4 linked regions of the Mus musculus genome follow. The main gene of each other region encodes a partner of the protein of the gene in region 4 in a complex. Links are inferred from orthologs where the notes say so. Each region holds a gene or a part of one and is shown on either strand. Other genes may lie near its edges. The genes, in order: Cdkn1a, Cdkn1b, Ambra1 and Ccnd1.

What was found.
Region 1: the proteins of Ccnd1 (region 4) and Cdkn1a are in contact, whole or in part, in a crystal structure (PDB 6P8H), measured with the Homo sapiens proteins. The link is inferred for Mus musculus from reciprocal best matches to the Homo sapiens genes CCND1 and CDKN1A. Residues at the interface, in NP_444284.1 of Homo sapiens: Met56, Ile59, Thr62, Trp63, Glu66, Val67, Glu70, Glu92, Lys95, Lys96, Ser97, Arg98, Leu99, Gln100, Leu101, Ile126, Tyr127, Thr128, Asp129, Ser131, Arg133, Glu136, Gln139, Met140, Leu142, Leu143, Asn146, Lys147; in NP_000380.1 of Homo sapiens: Ser15, Lys16, Ala17, Cys18, Arg19, Arg20, Leu21, Phe22, Gly23, Pro24, Val25, Ser27, Gln29, Leu30, Asp33, Cys34, Asp35, Leu37, Met38, Cys41.
Region 2: the proteins of Ccnd1 (region 4) and Cdkn1b are in contact, whole or in part, in a crystal structure (PDB 6P8F), measured with the Homo sapiens proteins. The link is inferred for Mus musculus from reciprocal best matches to the Homo sapiens genes CCND1 and CDKN1B. Residues at the interface, in NP_444284.1 of Homo sapiens: Met56, Ile59, Val60, Trp63, Glu66, Val67, Glu70, Glu92, Lys95, Lys96, Ser97, Arg98, Leu99, Gln100, Leu101, Ile126, Tyr127, Thr128, Asp129, Ser131, Arg133, Glu136, Gln139, Met140, Leu142, Leu143, Asn146, Lys147; in NP_004055.1 of Homo sapiens: Lys25, Pro26, Ser27, Ala28, Cys29, Arg30, Asn31, Leu32, Phe33, Pro35, Val36, His38, Glu39, Glu40, Leu41, Thr42, Asp44, Leu45, His48, Cys49, Met52.
Region 3: the proteins of Ccnd1 (region 4) and Ambra1 are in contact, whole or in part, in a cryo-EM structure (PDB 9IVD), measured with the Homo sapiens proteins. The link is inferred for Mus musculus from reciprocal best matches to the Homo sapiens genes CCND1 and AMBRA1. Residues at the interface, in NP_444284.1 of Homo sapiens: Thr286, Pro287, Thr288, Asp289, Val290, Arg291, Val293, Asp294, Ile295; in NP_001354397.1 of Homo sapiens: Arg54, Ser55, Phe57, Val73, His75, Arg96, Thr97, Trp99, Leu116, Ala139, Arg184, Ile945, Asn1012, Asn1029.

Annotation. Positions count from the first base shown.
Region 1 is NC_000083.6:29,092,067-29,097,510, reverse strand, and holds the start of Cdkn1a (cyclin-dependent kinase inhibitor 1), read right to left. Parts: upstream 3,743-5,444; 5' UTR 3,650-3,742; intron 1-3,649. UniProt on the Homo sapiens protein: Plays an important role in controlling cell cycle progression and DNA damage-induced G2 arrest. Involved in p53/TP53 mediated inhibition of cellular proliferation in response to DNA damage.
Region 2 is NC_000072.6:134,918,403-134,924,043, reverse strand, and holds the start of Cdkn1b (cyclin-dependent kinase inhibitor 1B), read right to left. Parts: upstream 3,644-5,641; 5' UTR 3,125-3,643; coding exon 2,650-3,124; intron 2,089-2,649; coding exon 1,970-2,088; 3' UTR 1,961-1,969; intron 1-1,960. UniProt on the Homo sapiens protein: Important regulator of cell cycle progression. Inhibits the kinase activity of CDK2 bound to cyclin A, but has little inhibitory activity on CDK2 bound to SPDYA. Involved in G1 arrest. Potent inhibitor of cyclin E- and cyclin A-CDK2 complexes.
Region 3 is NC_000068.7:91,728,208-91,733,821, reverse strand, and holds the start of Ambra1 (activating molecule in BECN1-regulated autophagy protein 1), read right to left. Parts: upstream 3,685-5,614; 5' UTR 3,443-3,684; intron 1-3,442. UniProt on the Homo sapiens protein: Substrate-recognition component of a DCX (DDB1-CUL4-X-box) E3 ubiquitin-protein ligase complex involved in cell cycle control and autophagy.
Region 4 is NC_000073.6:144,932,325-144,937,214, forward strand, and holds part of Ccnd1 (G1/S-specific cyclin-D1), read right to left. Parts: intron 1,841-4,890; coding exon 1,692-1,840; intron 514-1,691; coding exon of another isoform or gene 448-513; coding exon 283-447; 3' UTR 1-282. UniProt on the Homo sapiens protein: Regulatory component of the cyclin D1-CDK4 (DC) complex that phosphorylates and inhibits members of the retinoblastoma (RB) protein family including RB1 and regulates the cell-cycle during G(1)/S transition.

The sequences.
Region 1 (5,444 bases), on a different chromosome or scaffold from region 4:
GCTCCAGGCTGGAGGCCTTTCCAAAGGACGCTGGCAGGCAGTAGCCTGGGAGGAGGCAGCAGCCTGGGAGGAGGCAGTAGCCTGGGAGGAGGCAGCAGCCTGGGGGGAGGCAGTAGCCTGGGGGGAGGCAGCAGCCTGGGGGGAGGCAGTAGCCTGGGGGAGAGGAGAGTCTGAAGGGGTGGAGCGGGGTTAAGGCTCTCTCCCAGGCTGAGCCACATCCTGCCAGGCAGATCAGGTAATCTGGAGTCTAGACACCTCCCAGCCCCAGACGTGCCTATAGCCTGTGCCCAAGGAACCCGTTTTACAGGCACTGAAAAAAAAAAAAAAGTTAAAGGTGTTGGTTTACCTGGCTCCTCTCCAGGAAAGAGGGATACCTGAGTGGCCCATCCTGACTCCAAGACTAGGGGATGCAGCTTCTAAGGAGGGCCTTTGAGCTTGCAAGGTGAGCCCCAGTGGCTTCCTGAGGCAAGACCCCCTGGGCTCTTACCACATACACTACCACACACATACACACGCCCAGCTCCTTAAGACCTCAGGGTGAGTTTGCCCACAGCTGGAAGAGAGAAGGGGGTACCCAGACTATGATTCAAGGTAGGAAGCCAGAAGAGATGAAGCGTCTGGGGCCCCGATGGTAAAGCCTGGGCCTTGTGCTAAGCAAGGAGCTCTCTATAAAACTGGGTGTGGCGGCACACACCTGTAATCGCTGGAGGCAGAGGTAGGGAAAGAAGTTCAGGGTCTACCTTGGCTACTACATAGGGAACGTGGCCAGCATTGTGGCTTCCATAAATAAGTAAAACAGCCAATTCCCAAAACACAGCACTCGGGAGGCAGAGGCAAAATGTCTGTGAGTTGAAGGCCATCCTGGTGTGCATAGTGAGAGCCTGGCTAAACACCAACCAACCGAAACACAGGTCTAACAAGGATTCCCACTGCCCGCAAAAGGATTCTCAAGGTGCAGACCTCAGAGGCCTAAAGGACCTCAGATGGCCTCTGCCTACAGGTAGAGCTTGGGGCCTATTCACATCCTTTAGTACAACTCAGTCATCCTCCTGCCTCTGCCTCTAGTGTGCTGGGATTGCAGTTGTAAGCCACCAAAAGCTATCGTTAATAGATGGCAATATCACATTCTTTTACGGCAGAGCTAATCCAGGTTCAGAATGTGTGTCCAAAGGCACAGGGCTCACAAGCGGGGTTTGAATTCAGACCCTTTTGGTCTAGTATTGATCATTCTCTCGTCTTCTCACCTTGAGGGGCATGACCAGAGGACTCCATTAAAATCAGCTGGAAAAGCTTTTTTATTAAATATAGACTGAGCTCCATGTTATGGGGAGAGTCTTTAATCCCAGCACTCCACCAGAGGCACGTGATCCTTATGAGTTCCAGGCCACTGGGCCAGCCTGTCTATATAGTACTGGTAGCTGGGGCCATTTTGTAAGCTTGTCTCTCTGTCTCTGTCTCTCTTTCACACACACACAGAGACAGAGAGAGAGATCTATATAGATATAGAAATATAGATTGGCTCATTTCCCCAGACAAACTGAGCCGAAAAACAAGTTTGGTGCCCTTCCCCAGACGGTAGCTCACAGGGGCCAGAGGAAGGAAGGGAAGACACCAATGGACTCGGCTAAGGCTGGATAGTCCCCAGTTTTTCATAGCTGAAGATAAGACCAGGAACCCAAGAGGGGCACGATCTCCACCTTGTCTCTCAAGGGCCACGCCTCCCTAATAGTCCGCTAGCACACCCTGCTAAAATCACTTGTATCTGGCCATCAGGCATATTTTAATTCCCTTTAAGCCGCGGTGGGGGTGGCAGAAGCCCGTGGTGCCACCCGCGCCTAGCCGGCCTTGCAGTCCTCACTGATGCCGGTAGGGGGCGCTGTGCACTCAGGAAATGGCGCTCGGTAGGCGGCGCGTAGGCCGAGCAAGGAGTGGTGAGTCAGTTTCCTGCCCGGCGCTGCCCGCCCGCCAAAACTGCTTGGGCACCGGAGCTGCGCGTCACCCTGGGGTGGAGAGAGGAGAGGAAAGGAGGGGGACCCCGGGCCACAAAACACGTCACGATGAGCCCAGGCTTCCTAAATTCCCGCCTATGTTGGGAAACCAGACTGAGCGCGCGCGCGCGCACGCATACACACACACACACACACGCACGTACACAGACACACACACACACACACATACGCACGCACGCACACACGCACGCACGGACACTCGAGAGCAAAGAAAGTGCTCTTAGCTCTGGCCCCCTCCACCTTGATCTCCACGCCCAAAGCACGCGATGAGTCAGATCCCTGGAAAATAAAAATAGATGAGGGCGAGGACAACAAAAAACCGCCTGAGTGTCCTCTCTGAAACGCGACGTAGGGGACAGAGGAAGCTGCCAGCGCGCCCCCAAATGCCAAACCCAAGCCCAAAGTATTTCCCGCACGACCAGGGTGCAAGTGTAGCCCTTGTCCCCGGAGGTTCCGAGTGGAATGGATGTGCCCTAGTGGGCGCACTCAGCCTGGTCACCTTCCTACACTGGGTGTGGACTGGGTCGAGGGCCCCAGCCCCGGGGCGTCTGATGTACGGCACCCGTAAGCCTCACTCCGCGAGGATACCGGCCGCTCTACAGTGCGGGCTCCTCTCGCGCCCCACGGTCACTGGTCCGGGTCGTGGTGGGCGCGGTGGGTGGGACCCTTTGCGCTTCCCGGGCTGGCAGGGTGGACAGGACCCGCCCAGACTCCCTGTCCCCGAGGGCGCGCCGCCGAGCGGGGACCGGACACCGCGTCCTGGACCTCCCCGTGTCCCGGGTTCCCTGGGAACATACTGTGCCCGCCAAATAGGTCACTGTGCCGCGCGGGGGAGGGGACGGGGCAGGAACGAGGCTGTACCCGGGCAGGGAAAGGGGCTTCTGGGCTGCCACTGACCCATCCCCAGTTGTGGCGCGATTCTGGTCTCAATCCAGTGCCCGGGGTCTCCTTGTCACAATGAGTCACCTCCTCGCCTGTCCTCTAGGACGTGCCCAGGCACGATCCCGAGGGCGGAGGACACAGCTCGCGCTGACCTCAGAGCCCAGTGGGGTGGTGGCTACCGCGAAACAGGGCACTTGGTTCACAAGGACCGGGGATCCGGCGGCACCCATGGGATCGGAGAACCGCTCTGCGCTAAGCTCTAGATAGACTCGCCGAAGCTTGTCACAACCGCCACCCAGGACCCATCTCGGGGCACCGTGAGCTTCATTCTCACGCTTTGGGCGAGCCGCACCTGGAATCCCTAGAAACATTGGCAACCAGAAGCGAGCTCCCGGTAGCCGATCCCCGCCAGCCATCGCTCGGACCCGGTCTCCAAGGACTGGAAGAGTGGCTGCCATCCGTGGTCCTGGAGTTCAGACTCTGTATGCCGAGTCCGCGACATAGCCTGACCCTCGTCACACTCCAACAAACGAAGCCTTCAGCCACCACGGACGCTCAGACCCACACCCGTCATCCACCTGCCGCGGACACACCTGTGACTCTGGCGGGCACGCACAAATACACATATACACACACAGGTGATCCACTCATCACCACACACACACACACACACACACACACACACTTCTGGGGACACCCACTGGGCTCAGCGCATTGCTACGGGGAAGAACTATTGTTCCCTGCCACGAAGCTCTCACCTCTGAATGTCTGGATATCGCTGTGGATCTGCGCCTGACTCCAATTCCCCTAGACTCTGACACCGCGGCGGCTCACACCTCTCGGCTGCTGCAGTTGGCGTCGAGCTGCCTCCTTATAGCGTCGGCCCAGGCCCCGCCCCCTCAGAGGCAGGACCAACCCACTCCTTCACCGATCCCGGGGACTCGCTGGCCCGCCCTCCCCTCTGGGAATCTAAGCCCGCGCCAGACAGCTAGAACCGGCGCGCGTTAAGAGGGCGCGCCCTCCCCTCCCCCACACCTGGGCTATTCTCTTGTCACGCAGCGCACCAGCAGAGCCACATACATCTATGAACAACAGTACAGTTAGAGCTGAGTGAGTGTTTATGGGTCTGTCCCTGACCAACTGTGGGAAGGACTAACTCTTTTCCAGATCACTGATATTAGTAAATAAAATCCTGGGTTTCGGGAGGTGGGTCTGTTGGTACAGTGTTTGCCTAACTTGCTGGAAGTGAAGCCCTGGGTTGGAGCTCCAGGGCCCCATAAACTGGGCATGCGGGGTCACGTCTGTAATAACAGCGCCCAGTGGGGGGTGAGGAGGGGGAAATAGGCATTCAAGGTCGTTTTGACAGCTACCTATTCCGATGGAGACCAACTTGAAATATGTGACACTGTTTCAAATATAAATAAATTGATCATTTGAGTATGATAGCAAAAGCCTGGAATCCTATACTTGGGAGATTGAGGCACGAGGGGCGTTACAGGTTCAAGACCAGCCTGGGCTATCCATTGAGACCCTCTCAAAAACAAAACAAGCCCATAAATAATAAAAAATAGTTTAAAATCCCAAGAAGTCCCACTATGTCTGGAGATTTTTTTCCCCCTCCTCCCAGAAGCCCCTCGGACATCGGGTCCAGAACGCGATCATTTCCTCCCTGTCTCACAGACGAGGAAAGCAGTTCCACAGAAGGAAAGGATGCTGTCAACCGCCTCAGAAATCGGGGAGATTGAGTCCAGTTCTCAGACCACGGACTACCAAGAAAAACAGCCGCCAGGCTCCTTACCTCCCCTCTCCCCTCTTCAGAAGCCAGCATGTGAACATTTCTCACACCATAATACATCCTGCAAGTGAGAGCATCAAGACCTGACTGGGACCACACTAATGGCTACCTGCTGACCTCTGGCAAGCTGCCCAGAGTACTCTGCTTGCAGATTTCTTTCTCTGGGTCCAAAATGAGGGAAATGTCTAATACTCCCCCTCCCAAGATCCAGACAGTCCACTAAAATGACATTGATAAAGGACAATTCTAGAAACATCTACGGATGTTCCTGACAGACATAGCAGTAAGACATTCTCCGTTCCCACCTTCCTCCATGTCTCTAGTCAGTTTTATTTCCTTCTGTTTGGGGTCTTTTGAGACGAGGCCTCGCTATGTAGCCCAGGGTGGCCCTCATATTCAAGGCAATCTTCCTGCCTTAACTTCCTTGCTTAGAGTTAAGACTACAGGTCTGAGCCATCACACCCAGCAGAAGGGGGTTTTCTTCAGTCTTGTTACACGATCCAGCCTGGTCACATGGGCTACATAGCAAGACCACCATCTCAGCTAAGCATAGAGGTACATGCCTGAAATCACGGTACTTGGGAGGCAGGGGGGATTTGGAGCTCAAGGCTAGCCTGAGCTATCTGAGATCACCATGCATCCAAAAAGGGATGTAGCTCCGTTAATATAGCGCTTGCCTAACATGTATGAAGCCAGGAGTTGGATCCCTAGTAAGGCATCATCTAGATGATAGCGGCATACATCTGTAATCCCGGCAC
Region 2 (5,641 bases), on a different chromosome or scaffold from region 4:
GGGTCCTTAACAAGTGGGCAATTTTGTGAAACCCTCCCATGCCCCAGGGGACATTTGGAAATGTCTAAGAGACATTTCTGATTGTCACAGCTTCGGGAAGAAGATTGCTACTGGCATCTTGTGGGGGAGGCCAGAGATAATGCCAAACATTCTAAAATGCACAGGACTGCCTACCACAACAAAGAATAATTTGGCTCAAAATGTCAACTGTGCAGAGGTTGAGAAACTCGCTCTATAAAATCTGGGTCAAAGAGGGTGAGAAAGAAAAGAAATTCAGGAACCATAACACATCAGAGTAGCATATTTTCGTAATCTTGAAAAATACCTGGAAATGCAATTATAAAATTATTCCTCCCCACCAAGTCGAGGAATGTTTACAAAATTGCAATTTCTTACTCATATGCAGCATATCTGCACGAGTGCTTTTGACTAGAGTCTTATGGTTGCTTGGCTAATAAATGCCTCTTTATCAGAACAGGCCAGGTAAAAATCCAGGCGGCTCATCTGAAAAGCTAGGCCAGAAGCCACACAAAGCAACTAAAGCTACAGGTGTGATGGCTAGTTAGAAAGAACTCCCATCCAATTCGACAACTTTATAGAGGGTATAATATGGAAAGTGACTCTAATGGCCATTTTCCATCTCTGAAAAAATGCTATGTCTGTAGAAGGTATATCATGACTTTATGATTTATAAACACAACAAGCTGGAACCCTGTGCCATCTCTATATTCCTTCATTTATTTTTAAATTTCAATAAATGAGGACCTGAAAAGTTAATAATAAACTGTTAAGATCTATTTGTATGCTGGGTTATAAGTGGGCTTTAGAAATAGAGAATGCTGGTTTTCTTCATAAGGAGCTTATAAACTATTATAAGTAGTTAGAGCATATGAATAGTCAATCTATGTAAATTTAGGGGCTGGGTTACTCTAATTAGGCAAGTGGGGTGATGAGATTTTTGACACATGGAAAAATCCACACTTGTGTTGGACCTTCTCAGTTGGTCCTAACATCTACTATCCATTTCCCCTATAAACATCCAAACCGTCCTGTTCCAGCAAATTAGCATACGGTGCTGACGTGTGGGAAGGCTGCTTCCTCTAGCTGTTCATTTAACTTCTGCTTTGTAACCTCAGGGTTAAAATCAATTCTGTGGGAGCATTAGTACTTCTGAACTTTCCAGTCTAATTTTTTTTTTAAGTATGAAGTTCCTTTCTCTCCAAAATTTACCAGCATACAAGGCACAACTTTAAAAAAAAATAAAAAAGTACCCAGAGGTGATGGCACACAACCTCTAATCTCAGCACTCAGGAGGCAGAGACAATACAGATCTCTGTGAGTTCGAAGCCAGCGTGGTCTACAGAGCAATTCCCAGAATAGCCCGAGCTGTTTGTTACACAGAGAAACCCTATCTCAAAAAACCAAAAACCAAAACAAAAGCAAAAGATAAAAAGAACTCGAGCCACGGCAGCTCTATTCACACTCCTAATCAAACGTGCACTATGGGTACCTAGTTTTTCTCTTAAGAACATACATGTAAGTATATATTTGCCATTTTTCTACAGTTCAAATGGTTCAAAATAGGCTATTGGCTCAAAACGAACCTCTGGGAAATGGGTTCTCATGAACTGAGACTGGAAAGGAAAACTGTCATTCCCAGCCTAAGTTTTAGTGGGATTCATAAGGATACGACCGTCCCTATCCTTTGGGGCCTTGGTGGCAAGTTCTTGCTTGGGAACCTCATTCTGATTCCACTTTAAGGTAAATATCTTGGGGTGCAAATACTGCATTATAGTCCCCTCAAGTGATTCCAGCCTTCCCCAGTGTTAATTTTTTTGATCAAGGAAAGTAATTCCTCCTGGCAGGCAACTAATCTGCCAGCAGTCCTGGGGTCTGCAGGCCCCCCGGGGAGCGCAGCCCAGATGGGGTGTCAGTTTTGTGTTCTTCCTCATTAACCCACCGGAGCTGTTTACGTCTGGCGTCGAAGGCCGGGCTTCTTGGGCGTCTGCTCCACAGTGCCAGCGTTCGGGGAACCGTCTGAAACATTTTCTTCTGTTCTGTTGGCCCTTTTGTTTTGCGAAGAAGAATCTAAGAGGGGGGCAAGGGGAAATTTTTAAGAGAACACACACAAACCATCTTTATTATCGACAACAATGGCTGACAGAAGTAGGCCCAAGGGATGAACAACCCACTCACTACCTCCACCCACGACCCCTGGACCCGTCATCCCCGGTAGCATCTAAGGACACAAAATAAGGTTGTTCCCACTAACACAAGGAGTATTCTACACCCCACGTCTCTTCCCCACCCCCATCCCCACCCCCACCCCCCCACCCCAGCCAAGGAGGAGGCAGTTGGTAAACATCCGAACTTTTGTCACGTATCTACAGCTGGCTAGAGGGGAGGAACTGTGATGCGTTCGGCTACGGAAGTTATCACATCTTACTATCTCCGGCTTCTGACTTCAAAATCATAAACAGGGCAAGCAGTCGGATAGGGGGTATGTCAAACCTAAGCTTCAAACAAGTTCGATTTCCCAGAGCTAAAGCAGAACACGCTGGAGAAAGCAAGTGAACAGGGTCTAGTAAAGGGGCGCTTACGGAGACAGACAGACAGACAGACATTTTAAGTTTTCCAAAGAGTCACTACCTTCTGCAGCAGGTCGCTTCCTCATCCCTGGACACTGCTCCGCTAACCCAGCCGGATTGTCTGACGAGTCAGGCATTTGGTCCACCAAATGCCGGTCCTCAGAGTTTGCCTGAGACCCAATTAAAGGCACCGCCTGGCGGCTCCCGCTGACATCCTGGCTCTCCTGCGCCAGCACCTTGCAGGCGCTCTTGGGGGGGCGCGGGGGCCTGTAGTAGAACTCGGGCAAGCTGCCCCTCTCCACCTCCTGCCACTCGTATCTGCCCTCCAGGGGCTTATGATTCTGAAAGTCGAAATTCCACTTGCGCTGACTCGCTTCTTCCATATCCCGGCAGTGCTTCTCCAAGTCCCGGGTTAGTTCTTCATGATTGACCGGGCCGAAGAGATTTCTGCAGGCGGAAGGCTTGGGGTGCTCCGCTTGTCTGGCGTCCATCCGCTCCAGGCTCGGGCTCCCGTTAGACACTCTCACGTTTGACATCTTCCTCCTCGGGCGGGTGTGGACCACCGCCTCGCCTCTCTCCGGAAAAAAAAAAATGAAATAAACAACAAAACCGAACAAAAGCGAAACGCCACGGATGGAGCGCAAAACCCTCTTCGAAGTTCTGCGACTGCACACAGACAGTCAAATGGAGCAGAGCCAGGCGAGCGACCGCCCGAGCCGCAGTAGCGCGCAGGTCTGGGGAAGAGAGGCGCAGGGACACCCCAGCCGCCGCGCAGCTCGAGGCTTCAGTGATCAAGTGTACTGGAGGGCGGGGAAGGGAGGGGAGGAGGCAGGAGGAGGTGGCAAACAGTCGGAGCGTAGGCTGGGGCGAGCCCGTGTGTCCCGCGAACGCAGCCCCTCTCCAAACCTTGCCGCCGCGCGAGTCTCGGAGCCGCGAGTGAGTCGGGACAAGGGATGAGGGGGGAAAACACCCCAAAAGCACGAGCCCCCCTCCTTTTTTAGTTGCCCAATATGGCGGTGGAAGGGAGGCTGACGAAGAAGAAGATGATTGACACTGCAAGTCTATTTAAACAGAGGAGGAGCTCCATTGGTCTCGGCGCCGGGAGCCGCTCCGCCCAGGCTGGCGAGCGCGCTCTTAAGGTGGCCCCGGGCGCGGCGCCGCCGCCTCTCCGCGCTCCCGAGCGCGCCGCCTCCCCGTAGCGCCGCCAGGACATTGGCTGGTCGCGTGACTACTCGGAGGTGTACGACTGCCAACAAACCTGCTCTGGCTGGCCCCGGAGAAATTAAAAATAAGACAAACAAACTAGCCAAACGGCCGGAGAGCTGGGGAGGGGCCAGCGCGGCGGCCAGGCAGGGACCCGGGGATCTAGGTCCCGGCGCTGCAGAGCTGCGCTGGCAGGCGCGTCACCGCTCCCGACTGCGACCTCCAGGTCTTTGCCCGCGAAACCTAGGGCCTGGACCAGTGGGCTCCTAGGTCGCTGGCGGCTTATTAGGAGCTTCGGTGGCTAGTTCAGCCCACCTGCATTCGCCGAGGTGGGAATGGAGGAGGGTATGCGAGAGATTCAGGAAACCTTGGCTCAGGGCCTGGGGCAGCCCACCCACCCCCACCCGGCAGGGTGCCTTAGCTGGGGTGCGGAATCGGCCGCTTAGCCTGACCCCAGAAGTCTCTGCTATGTAGGACAGGCCAGGAGGTGGTTTCAAAAAGAAGCCAGGACTGACCGCTCTTATCAGGGTGTTTCTGAATCCAAGCGCTTCCACCGTAGGATCTCGAGATTGAAAACCCCCAGTGCTCTCCCAAGCCTCTCTTTAGAGCCGTCCCAGACAGAAATCAGAAAAAGCCAGTTCTGATTTTCTTGGTTCCTAAGCACAGTGAAAGCCATTGCTATAGCGTGTGGGAACTCGCCTTTATACCCTTATGTTCTTTCCCGGGCGAAGCCGTTCCCTCCACCTGAGTCCAGACGCCAACTACAACAGTGCCTTCCTTCTCTTTTTTCTCCCACCAGCCTGTTGCTTCCAACCTACTCAGTACAATATTCAAATACAAGCAAATACTTTTAGAGAGCTGCAGGTTGTTAAAGGGCGAAAACACTTTCCTAAGGATCTAAGACTAGATTTGCAAGTGATTTATAATACCACCACCACGGTATTACCAACATCTAGTAATGTTGGGTGGGTTTTTTTCAGCTCCTTGGGCAACTTCACATTTCTCTATCACTGCTGAGCACAGTGACAGAAGTTAAAACAGAATAGCCAGGCCTGTCGTATCTCAGAGTTCAGTGAGATTTTAAGGGCTTTGCCCACTAGTATTCCCAAACAGTCTTGGTTTGCGCTAAACACAAAACATGTTACAGGAAATTAAATTTCTGGTTTAGTGTCCCAAAGAAGCATGGTTTTCCTATCTTCCTCTGGTGTAGGTGAGACTGAATATTGACTTGTTTTCTTAGCCACATCTTTGCCAGGATGTGTGTGTGTGTGTGTGTGTGTGTGTGTGCGCGCGCGCGCGCGCACGTGCACGTGTGTGTGTGTGTGTGTGTGTGTGTGTGTGTGTGTGTGTGTGTGCCTTGCCTCCTGCATTCAAAATGTAACAGTCCAGAAAGTTCTTAGATAGGTTTAGCCTCTTTTTACCAATGAGGAAATTGATACTCAGGTTTCCTGTCTGGGGACTTCTATTCAGTTGGTGGCAGAGTCTCCTCATTCTCGGCTGGTTTGGGTTTTGTCTGTTTTCTTCTGGTGGTCTCAGTGTTCCTGATTTTGTCTGGATTTGGATGGGTTGCAGTCTGCAGACTCTACTCTCTTACAAGGATCCAAAAGGTCTCTTTCCAGGCCTTGGATGCCCACAGATGTCTCCTTGATCATCAAGTGCAGCTGTCACAAGCCTTTGGTATCACTATCTACTAGTTCAGCTGAAATACAGATTCCAAAAAGATGGGTGGGGCTCATTGAGTAGGAAAGAAGGCAGCATCCAGGCGTGGACTTCAAATCCAGGCCTTCTGCACTGTTCAGTTGGGACCAAGGTGGGGAGTTGCCTCTTCTGGGGTGCTTTGTTTGCTGTGG
Region 3 (5,614 bases), on a different chromosome or scaffold from region 4:
TAAAAAAAAAAAAAAAAAAAAAAAAAAAAAAAAGGTTGCCAGGCATGGTGACGCATGCCTTTAATCCCAGCACTTGGGAGGCAGAGGCAGGTGAATTTCTGAGTTTGGGGCCAGCCTGGTCTACAGATCTACAGAGTGAGTTCCAGGACAGCCAGGGCTACACAGAGAAACTGTCTCGAAAAACCAAAAAAAAAAAAAAAAAAAAAAACCACATAAGGTTTTCAGGGCTGGAGAAATGGCTGAGTGGTTAAGAGTACTAGCTGCTCTTCCAGAGGACCTGGTTGTTCAATTCTCACAACTGTCTGCAACTCCAGTTTCAGGGAATCTAACACTGACACAGTCATAAATGCAGGTAAAACACCAATGCACATAAAATAAATAAACATTAAAAAAGGGGGGCTGGTGAGATGGCTCAGTGGGTGGGAGCACCCGACTGCTCTTCCAAAGGTCCAGAGTTCGGGTCCCAGCGACCACATGGTGGCTCACAACCATCTGTAGCGGGCTCTGACTCCCTCTTCTGGTGTGTCTGAGGATAGCTACAGTGTACTTACTATAATAATAAATGAAAAGTCTTTAAAAAAAAAAAAACATTAAAAAAGAAAAAGCATTTTCTCTTTTAGTTAAAAAAAAGAAAGCAGTTTATTTCAGTAACTCTGGTCCAGGCCACATTCCAGAACACATTCAGAAGCTTTCGTCTTTCTTGTCTCTGTTGTTGGTTTCTGTTGTTGTTTCTTGAGGAAGTCTCAGGATGTTAACTCAGGCTGACCTAGAACTTACAATCTTCCTGCCTCAGTCTCTCTGGAGTGTTGGAATTTAAAGTATGTACTGCCACAGCTATTTGAAGCTTATATCTCTTTTTTTCTTTCTTTCTTTCTTTCTTTCTTTCTTTCTTTTTTTTTTTCTGAGAGGGTTTCTCAGCCTCGAACTCAGAAATCCGCCTGCCTCTGCCTCCCAAGTGCAGGAATTAAAGGTGTGAACCACCAACACCAGGCAGCTTATATCTCTTAATTATCCACAAGAACCATCTTATGAAAATACAGAATAACTCAGTCATAATGTGAACATTTCTGAAATCCCAGGAAACAGCCCAAATTGACTTCAGTAATTGTCAAGCAGTGGTTCACACTGGTAATCCAGTAACTGAGGTGGAGGCAGGAGGATCAAAGAGCTCAGGCCGTCCTCAGCTGCACAGTCAATGAAGCTAGCCTGGAATATAAGGGATCCTGCCTCAAAAACAGCAACACACAAACAAAAAAAAGCATACAAAAATGAATCAAGTAGCCAGGCAGTGGTGGCTTACACCTTTAATCCCAGCACTTGGGAGGCAGAGGCAGGTGGATTTCTGAGTTCGAGGCCAGCCTGGTCTACAGAGTGAGTTCCAGGACAGCCAGGGCTACTCAGAGAAACCCTGTCTAAAAAAAAACAAAAACCAAACAAAAAAAAAAAAACAAAATGGCTCAGATTACTATCAAGCCAGATGACCTGAATTCACTTGGGAACCGTGTGCCAGAGAGAAATGACTCCTGGAAATTGTCCTCTGACATCCATATGCATGCATGGCATGCCCATGTGCAGACAGACACACAGACACACAATCAATCATTCCATCAATCACCTTCATTTAAGTATTACTGATCTCAGGGGTAGGGATGTAGCTCTGTGGAAGAGCACGTGCGTGTGACCTTGGGTTCAAAATTCCCAGCACTTCTAAAGGCGAGAAATAATAATAAACCTCACTGACCTTACACATACATTAAAGGAAAAATTAGAGAAACAATGTAAAATTCTATCATCTTTCTAAAGTTCCTGAAGCATCTTTTTTCTTTTTTTCTTTTTTTTTTCGAGACAGGGTTTCTCTGTATATCCCTGGCTGTCCTGGAACTCACTTTGTAGACCAGGCTGGCCTTGAACTCAGAAATCCGCCTGCCTCTGCCTCCCAAGTGCTGGGATTACAGGCGTGCGCCACCACGCCCGGCCTGAAGCATCTTAAAACTGTGCAGAAACTGATTTTCACAATCTATACACCCTTAAAATCAACTCTCCTATGACTTCTATATAGTGTGGAAACTTACCCAACATCAAACAACCTCCAAGACTTTTTTTTAGGATCAAGACATTTGATTAAATGAAATTAACAAAAACACTTAGACCTTAAGGCCTTGAAAAAGAAAAGAGAGGGCTGGCGAGATGGGTCAGCGGGTAAGAGCACTGACTGCTCTTACAAAGGTCCTGAGTTCAAATCCCAGCAACCACATGGTGGCTCACAACCACCAGTAATGAGATCTGACACCCTCTTCTGGTGTGCCTGAAGACAGCTACAGTATACTTACATATAATAAATAAATCTTTAAAAAAAAAAGAGAGAAACAGTAAAGTTCACAAATGATTCATCTTCAATTATGTTTGAATAATTTCTACACAGACTTTTGAACTCTTGAATAAAATGACTAAATCACTAACCAAATAAAAAAAAGTTTCAAAAGAGATTCCTTGGATTCCCTCCTAGAAAAGACCTCCACAAGACAAGAACCTGAATTCAAAGTCTTAACCATCTTAAGCATCTTCCATCTTGCACTAAGTACTTAACACCATAGCAGAAAGTTTCAGAACAAGCTGAAGAGTGGAATCAGTATTAATCAGAAGTAAAGTGGAAGTAAACAAATTATTTATGAGTAAACAAAACTAAACTATCCTTACTACTTTTGCTAAAACGATACAAACTTCGAAAAAGCAAACCCAGTCAAAAACATCACTTGCTCCCTTAATGTCTGAAGCCTCCAGTAACACAATATATGTTTCTAAGAAAGAAGAGTTCCAAAAAGTCAAATGAGAGACTGTTAAGTAAAAAGTGACCAGTAAAATGGGAGAATTGTGAACTGTTAAAGACAAAAAAAAAAAAAAAAAAAAAAAAAAAAGAACCTTACAGCACATTTAATGATCTGTCGAGGTCACAGGGAAAAGTCACGTCCCCTACCTCAGCCTCGGTTTCCCTACCCCAAAAGACTATAAGTGATATTTCGTTCCTAGGAGCTGGAGGGCCTAGTTTCAATAGCCTCCACCTACTCAAAAGGGCACTCCGAGGCTGAACTCAGTAGGGGTCCCCAGTGCAACTGAGCATGACATCCGGAACCGGAGTTGTAGGAAAGGAGAAAGGGAATAGGGTCTAAGAAAGCCAAGTTCCTACAATCTAGGGGTGACGACACGCGTCCAGGACCCGACATCCCCTCTCTACGGAACCCGGCCGGCAGCTTCAGCATCTCTCCCTCCTTCCGGCTTCTCGCTCAGTTCCGGGCCGCCCTCCGGCCGCGCCCCCGGGCGCAACCCCCTTCACAACGCGCACCCCGGCGGGCCGCGCGCTCGCCCACCGGCCGGCGCTAAGGTCTCCTCCTGCCTTGGGCGGAAGGATGCGGGACCGGGCCTCCCAGGCTCCTCCCGGGCCTACCTGCGAGGAGAGTGAGAGCTCGGCCCGAAAGCCAGCGAGCGCACGGAGCCACGGACGGAAGGCGGGGAGAGGCCGAAGAAAGCGAGGGGTCCGCTCGACCGACCAGCGGAAGAAAGCGGCCAGAGCCCGGGGCCTCCGGGATAACTCAGTCCAGGACCTGGCACAGCCGCCGCCGCTCCGGAGACATCAACCAAGAAGACGCCGCAAAAGATCATCGAACACACGAACGCCCAGACATCAAAGGAAGAGCGCCCCAGCAATCGTTCAAGGCACTGCAGCCGAGTGCCGAAACATTGCTCAGCTCCTGCTGCAAATCCGGCTGCCTTCCTAGGCATAAATAAACAAATCCAGATCATTAAACTATAGCGTAGAGTAGGCTGGGATTCTGCCATTTTCTGTTGGTGACAGAGTGTTAAAGTAATTTAGAGAACTAAATTTTTGAGACAGGAGCACGCTTGTAATCCCTGCTTTTTTTTTTTTTTCCTGGTACTTTTTTTTTTTATTACGTATTTTCCTCAATTACATTTCCAATGCTATCCCAAAAGTCCCCCACACCCTCCCCCCGTAGTCCCTGCATTTTAGGAAAGGAGGCATGAGGATTTGGAGTTCAAAGTCATAGTCAGTTAAGCACAAGGCCAAACTGGACTATATGAGACCTTGGTGGTTTTTTTTTTTTGTTGTTTTTTTGTTTTTTTTTTTTTTTTTTTTTTTTTTTTTGGTTGGTTGGTTGGTTTGGCTAGGTTTTGGTTTTTGTTTTGTTTTTTGAGTGTGTGGTTTTCGAGACAGGGTTTCCCAAGTGCTGGGATTAAAGGCATGCGCCACCAAAGACCTTGTTTTAAGTGAAAAAGGAATTAGCCTTTTGTGAGCACATTGATTGAAGATAAATCATAGCAGAATAAAGCTCGTCTTAATAGTTCAACGACTGCCGTACACTTAGAGACTTCTCACACTACTTGTCCCAGTTGAACAAATGACTTTACCACTTTATTCTTGGTTTCCCCTCAGAGCTGAAGAACAATCGCTATGAATGCTCCAGGTCAGCTTTAGAAGAATATCCAAGAGAAAATGGCACACCTTAATGTGGGAAGGGAAAGTTCCTGTACCTTGTTTTTAAATTTTTATTCTTTGGTTTTGTTTTGCCAGACAAGGCTTCTCTCTGTGTACCCTTGGCTGTCCTGGAACTGGTTCTGTAGACCAGGCTGACCTCCAACTCACAAAGATTTGCCTGCCTCTGCCTCCGGAGTGCTGGGATTAAAGGTGAACACCACAACCTCCCAGCCTATTCTATTCTTTCTCAAAAAAAAAACCACTTACTTCTCTTTTATTTTCTTCCAAGGATCTAAAGCCACAGTCCACAGTGTGCTTTTAGTTAGCTTCGTAGCTAGTTCACTAAATAGTTTTTAGAGACAGGATTTTGTGTGGCACACACACTGGTCTTGAACTCTGTGTATCCAAGAATGGCTTTGAAATTCTGATGTGCTTGCCTTCCTGTTCCACATTTGCAGTGTGCCTGAGGGAGTGTGAGAGACTGCAGTGGAGGCTCACACTCTATAGCTTGGCTGGCTTGGAACTCACTATGAAGCCCACGCTGACCTCAAGCTCACAGCAATCCTTTTGCCTCAAGCTAGTTGAGTGCTGGGATTATAAGCAACCATGCCTGGCTTTTTTTTTTTTTTAAACAGAATCTCACTATGTAATCCATATTACTTCAAAGTCTATCTTCCTCCCTCTGCCTCCTACTTGTTGGAATTACAGGCTTTTACAGACATATTTGATTTGTAGCTGATCCTAACTGTACTGGCCAAACTCCATACTGTACAATCAGTACATTTTATTTCTAGATATTTTTCATGTGATAGGTATTTGCTACTCTTGAGAAAAGGCAATTACAATATTATTGTTTATGATTAGGTCTTCTTGGACATAAGCAAACAAAAATGATACTGTATATCTTTACATCTTTAATCCCAACTTTCTAGAGGCTGAGGCAAGGGAGATTGCAATATGATTGTTTGAGGCCAGCCTTGCCCCCCCCCAAAAAAAGCAAGCAAACAAACAAAAAACTCCAAAAGAGCTACACATGCTAGCCTATGCCTTTAATCTCAGCACTTGGCACTCAGTAAGCACAAGCAAACTGATCTCTGTGAGTTCAAGAGGCCATCCTGCATCCTG
Region 4 (4,890 bases):
AGAATTCTATTTTTGTAGCACCCCCTGGCTCCCTACTCTCAGGGTGATGCAGATTCTATCTCTCTCTCTCTCTCTTTAAGACAGCTTTCAGATATTTTTTTCTCTTTTGCTTAAATCAGATAGAAAGGAGAAAGATTAAGGAAAAACAACCAACAAAGAGAACAAAACTTCCTCTTCTGGTAACAACATGTCCCCAAGGGGGACGTCGTCAGGAGCACCCGGGCTGGCTCCTTCCTCTTTGCGGGTGCCACTACTTGGTGGCTCCCGCCTGCCCGGTGGCCCTCAGATGTCCACATCTCGCACGTCGGTGGGCGTGCAGGCCAGACCAGCCTCTTCCTCCACTTCCCCCTCCTCCTCAGTGGCCTTGGGGTCGACGTTCTGCTGGGCCTGGCGCAGGCTTGACTCCAGAAGGGCTTCAATCTGTTCCTGGCAGGCACGGAGGCAGTCCTGGAGAGGCGGGCGGAGATGGAGGGGGTCCTTGTTTAGCCAGAGGCCGGTGGCCAGGGCCTTGACCTGCGAGGCAGGCTTTGCTAAGAGCAAGGCTTGAGGAAACTCCCCAAGCCACCCCTAAATCCAGTGAGAGCTGCCAGAGACTAGAAAGGTACTGCTACTCTCTAGGTTCCTCCTCCCAGGCTGTACCCTGAACTTCCCCACAAGGAGCGTCTATCTCTCATAACTTTTTGCCTTGGGTGGCCTCTGAGAGAGGACAGCTCCAGCACAGGTAGGGTCTGGAAAGCATTTGCCCAGGAATAAGACTCATGAACTGAAGCCCTGCCTAGGCAGGCTGAAGCTAGGGCACTGTCTATATTCCTGAAGCCAGGAGGATTCCTGGGGAACACCTGGGAAGCCCCCACATTCAAAACTTGTGTATTGTTCCCCCTTTGTTTGATGAACACCATGGCTAGAGGATGGAAGGGCAATGGCCCCATTTCACAGATGGAGAAAGTGAGGCCCAAGTAGCCTAGTATGGACCCACAGACACCCTTCCCTCTCTGAAGCCTGTGGGCTCCAACCTGCCCACATACCCTATTCTCAGTTCTCAGGAGCCCCAGACACTTAGGGGAAGGGGGCTGCATGCTCTACAATTGAGATATGTAGGAATGGGGCACGGGGTGTCCCTGTGGCTGATGCCAGGCAGGGCAGAACAGCTGTCACACCTGGAAGCCTTCCACATGCCAGTGGCTCTGACCTCCATTGAACCCCCAACTGAAGTTCAAGCCAGAACTGGACTTTTGCCTGCCTATGCCAACTTGTGATGCCCTTGAGGAAACATTCACGGCCAGAGCCCCAAGCATGATCAGCTGTACTCCTTGGCAGAAAGGTACAGTTAGACGTAGCACAGTCTGCCTGATGCAAACCCCTCTCTCACACAAAGAAAGTTCTAGAATGTGTAGGTCTATACCAGAGTCCTTTATGGATTCAATCCCCAACGTCTGCACTGAGGGAGATATGGTCCTATGCTGGCTGGGCCAGACCGGGCTTCACATGCCACTACCCATACACATTGCAGGGGCACTGTCACCACACCACAGCCCTCTATGCCTTTGGGACCCATGACTCTGGGAAGAAGCTCGTGGGGACCCAGATTTGGCACCTCTCAGCTCCAGCCCAGTCACACAGTGCCTTGGCACTGCCCACCAAGGTTCCCAGGCCCTTGCCAGCTGTAGCCTCCTTTGATGAGACTTACTCACCGGGTCACACTTGATGACTCTGGAAAGAAAGTGCGTTGTGCGGTAGCAGGAGAGGAAGTTGTTGGGGCTGCCCAGGTTCAGGCCTTGCATCGCAGCCACCACGCTCCCAGCAGCTACCATGGAGGGTGGGTTGGAAATGAACTTCACATCTACAGCGAGAGGGACAGAGACATGCCTATGATTCAGCTCTCACCCACAGCCTCGGGGCCGGTCTTCAAGCCCTTCCAATGGATGCCCACATCAACTCTAGCTCCCTTGGAGACACCTAAGTGGCACTAGGTGCACACAGTGCTGCATCTCTAGACCCCAGCACATCGGAGGATTACGGTGTCCAGGCCAGAGCCTTGATGCTACCTGTCAATAAGGCCTTGGCTCAAACTTTAAAATGCTGCCTGGCATACACACCGGGTTCAATCCCCAGCACTTCCAGCAAACATCAAGGAGGGGTTGGCTATGTCGCCCTAAGAGGATGGAATCTATGAAGGTGTGGTGCTTTCACATCTGCATCCCAGTATTTGCGCGGCTGAGGTGGGAGGCAGGGATCTCTGTCTCTTCCAGAGTCAGCCTGGCAGCACCCCAAGGACTAGAGACACATCTCAGACACAGGAGAAAGCTGTAGAGATGACAGGCCCAGGTTCCTCAGAGGCCAGGCTAGACTCCACAGAAGGGAGTTAGCCTTCCCGGCTTACTGACCCAGGTTGGGGAAGACATGTGACCCCAGTCCAGGAAAACCCAGTAGGAATAGACTCAGAGGGAGCTGGGAATAGCCACCTCAGATCTCCAGGCCAAGGTCCCTCATGAGGGGCCCTGGAGTCTTAGGGACTCTCATATGTACATGTCCCAACTGGGAAGTAGTGGGGTGTCATTTTAGGACTTCATCTGGGGTCACCAACTCCACACCTCTCAGGTCCACTGGACTCAGCATCCTGCAGTTGTATGTCACACCGATGGAATGCCTCTCCGCATAAACCCACCAAAGATGAGTCTGAAAACTGCTTCCCTGTCACGTCCAACAAAGAAATAGTGACAGGGACAGCTGGTCACTTGGCCTGCGAATCAGGGCTTCCAGGCCAGAGGAGGACACAAGAATGAACAGATGTCAGCTCCCATCAATCATCTTGTGTGTCACCCAGAGCCTGGGATCAAGGAGGCTGGAAGGAATGGGATCAGGAAGGCAGAGAGTTGCTGTAGCGAGGTGGCCCTCTGGGGACCACCCTGAGAGAACATACAGCTTTGGCTGTTAAAGGGATCCAGCAGACAAGCAATACCTCCAGGTGGCACCAAGGACAGTTCATGCTAGTGAGTCCAGTGAACCAAAACCTGGCTATGGAGTCAAGTTCAAATCACAAACAGCCCTTTTACAGGGAGTGAGACTCCAGCCAGCAGGACCAGGAGTCCCCAGCCCCTTCCAGAGCCTGTTTTTCTCCCTCCCACGGGCAGTAGCAAGATCTGTTATGTCCTATAAGGATCCCTAGCTACTAACATCTGTGTCTTCACACTGGTTGCTGATGACATAGGTGTACCCTGGCTCAGTGGCATGTCTGACACCTACATACTTCATTAAGTTCAGTTTCCCACTGTCTGTATCCATCCACATAGCGCTCTGGCCACCTGTGTTAACAACCCCAACCCTAGCTAGCACATTGTTCAACTGCAGTCAGGAATCCAGGTTGGGGGGGCGGTTTGCAGAAGGGAAGTTATGCCTTCCCATCTCCTATAGGGGGAACCCCTGTCACACAGACGACAGATCTCCTGGCCTTGATGTCAGCATCTTTCCATTCACGGTGATGTCACACTGGCCTTTTCCCAAAGTGGTTCCTGTGTGACAAAGGAGCTGGTTGCTCCTACAGAGAAACAAATGCTCCAGACCACAGAACACTGGCCTACCGCAGGTCACCAAGCTGTCCTTTACCCCCACCTGTATTCCAGGGGCACAGACAAAGGCAGTAAGGAGAGCTGGAAGAGCTGAGTCCAGCTGTACCCAGATATAGCGCTTACTGGTTACTCTGCTGGCATCTAGGGGTCCCGGGAGGGGCACACTACTGCCAGAACTATCCTGGGGGAGGTTGTGCCTCTCCATCCCCAAGTTATCTCTGGGAAACTCTGCTGCCTCTCTGAAGGCACTTTCAGCTCCATAAAAGGCTGCCTGGAGCTTCCAAAGGCTCCGCTCTCCTCAGAGAAACCCCAGCCAGCTGCCTCCCTGACTGCCAGCAGGGCCACCCCCACCCCTTAGATCCTTCCAGCCTACTGATGGCCTTGCTACTCCCATCTGCCACCCCCTTGTTTGGTACCCTTGGGGCGGGCTCAGCACTCTCGGCAGGTAGTTGGCAAGCTAGAATTTCCAAATTCTCACACCAGCAGCTTAGAAACACTGGCTATGGGGCTGTCAGACATAAGAAGATGTCACTGAGACAGCGGGGGTGAGGTGGAGGTTGGGGGTGGGGGGAGATACTCTACCGGCCCTTCTGACATCACAGGCCAAACAGCTATAGCAACTGAGGTCTGATCAGGGCCACAGAGGAAGGGGGTCCTCAACAGGTGGGAGAACACCACACCCCCTCAATATTGCTAAGCCTCCTGGGTAGGGTTCTCAGTTAGAGGTGAGGAGCAGCTGTCAGAAGTAGTACTGAAACCACTCAGAAGTAGCAGGGTTGTCTATGTGTGTGGGTTCCTGCATGGCTGTCTACCATGACTTATGTCAGCCTAATCTACCTGGGGTCTGGGGCCAGGGAGGGTCCCTTGGAGGAGTCATAGGGAGGTTCTAGTTTCTCTGTTTCCAGCCAACCCTCCCAGGACTCAGCCAAAAAGTACTGGCCTGCAGTACCCCTGGTGGGGCCTCTAAGTTCCTGCTCTGGGACTGTACTGTATGTAGCTCGTGGGGCTGAGGCTGGACCATTTGTCCCATCCATGTAGGAACCCCTAGCAGGTGGCTCAGCCTGGGAGAAGCTGGTGTGTGTGTGTGTGTGTGCTCTATAGCTCGAGCTCCTTAAGAACAGAGGCAAGGCAGGAAGCCTAGGAAAAGAGGCAAAAACCTCTTCAGAAAGCATGCTGTGGCCGTACCACTTCCTGGCAGTGGAAAGGTTGGCACAGGGAAGCTGTGTCATTCTGTTAGGTCTCCAAGATACTAGCCAAGAGAATGTGCCACCCAGTATCATCTATCTCTCCAACAAACTATCTGCACCCTGGGCTCAGAATAGAT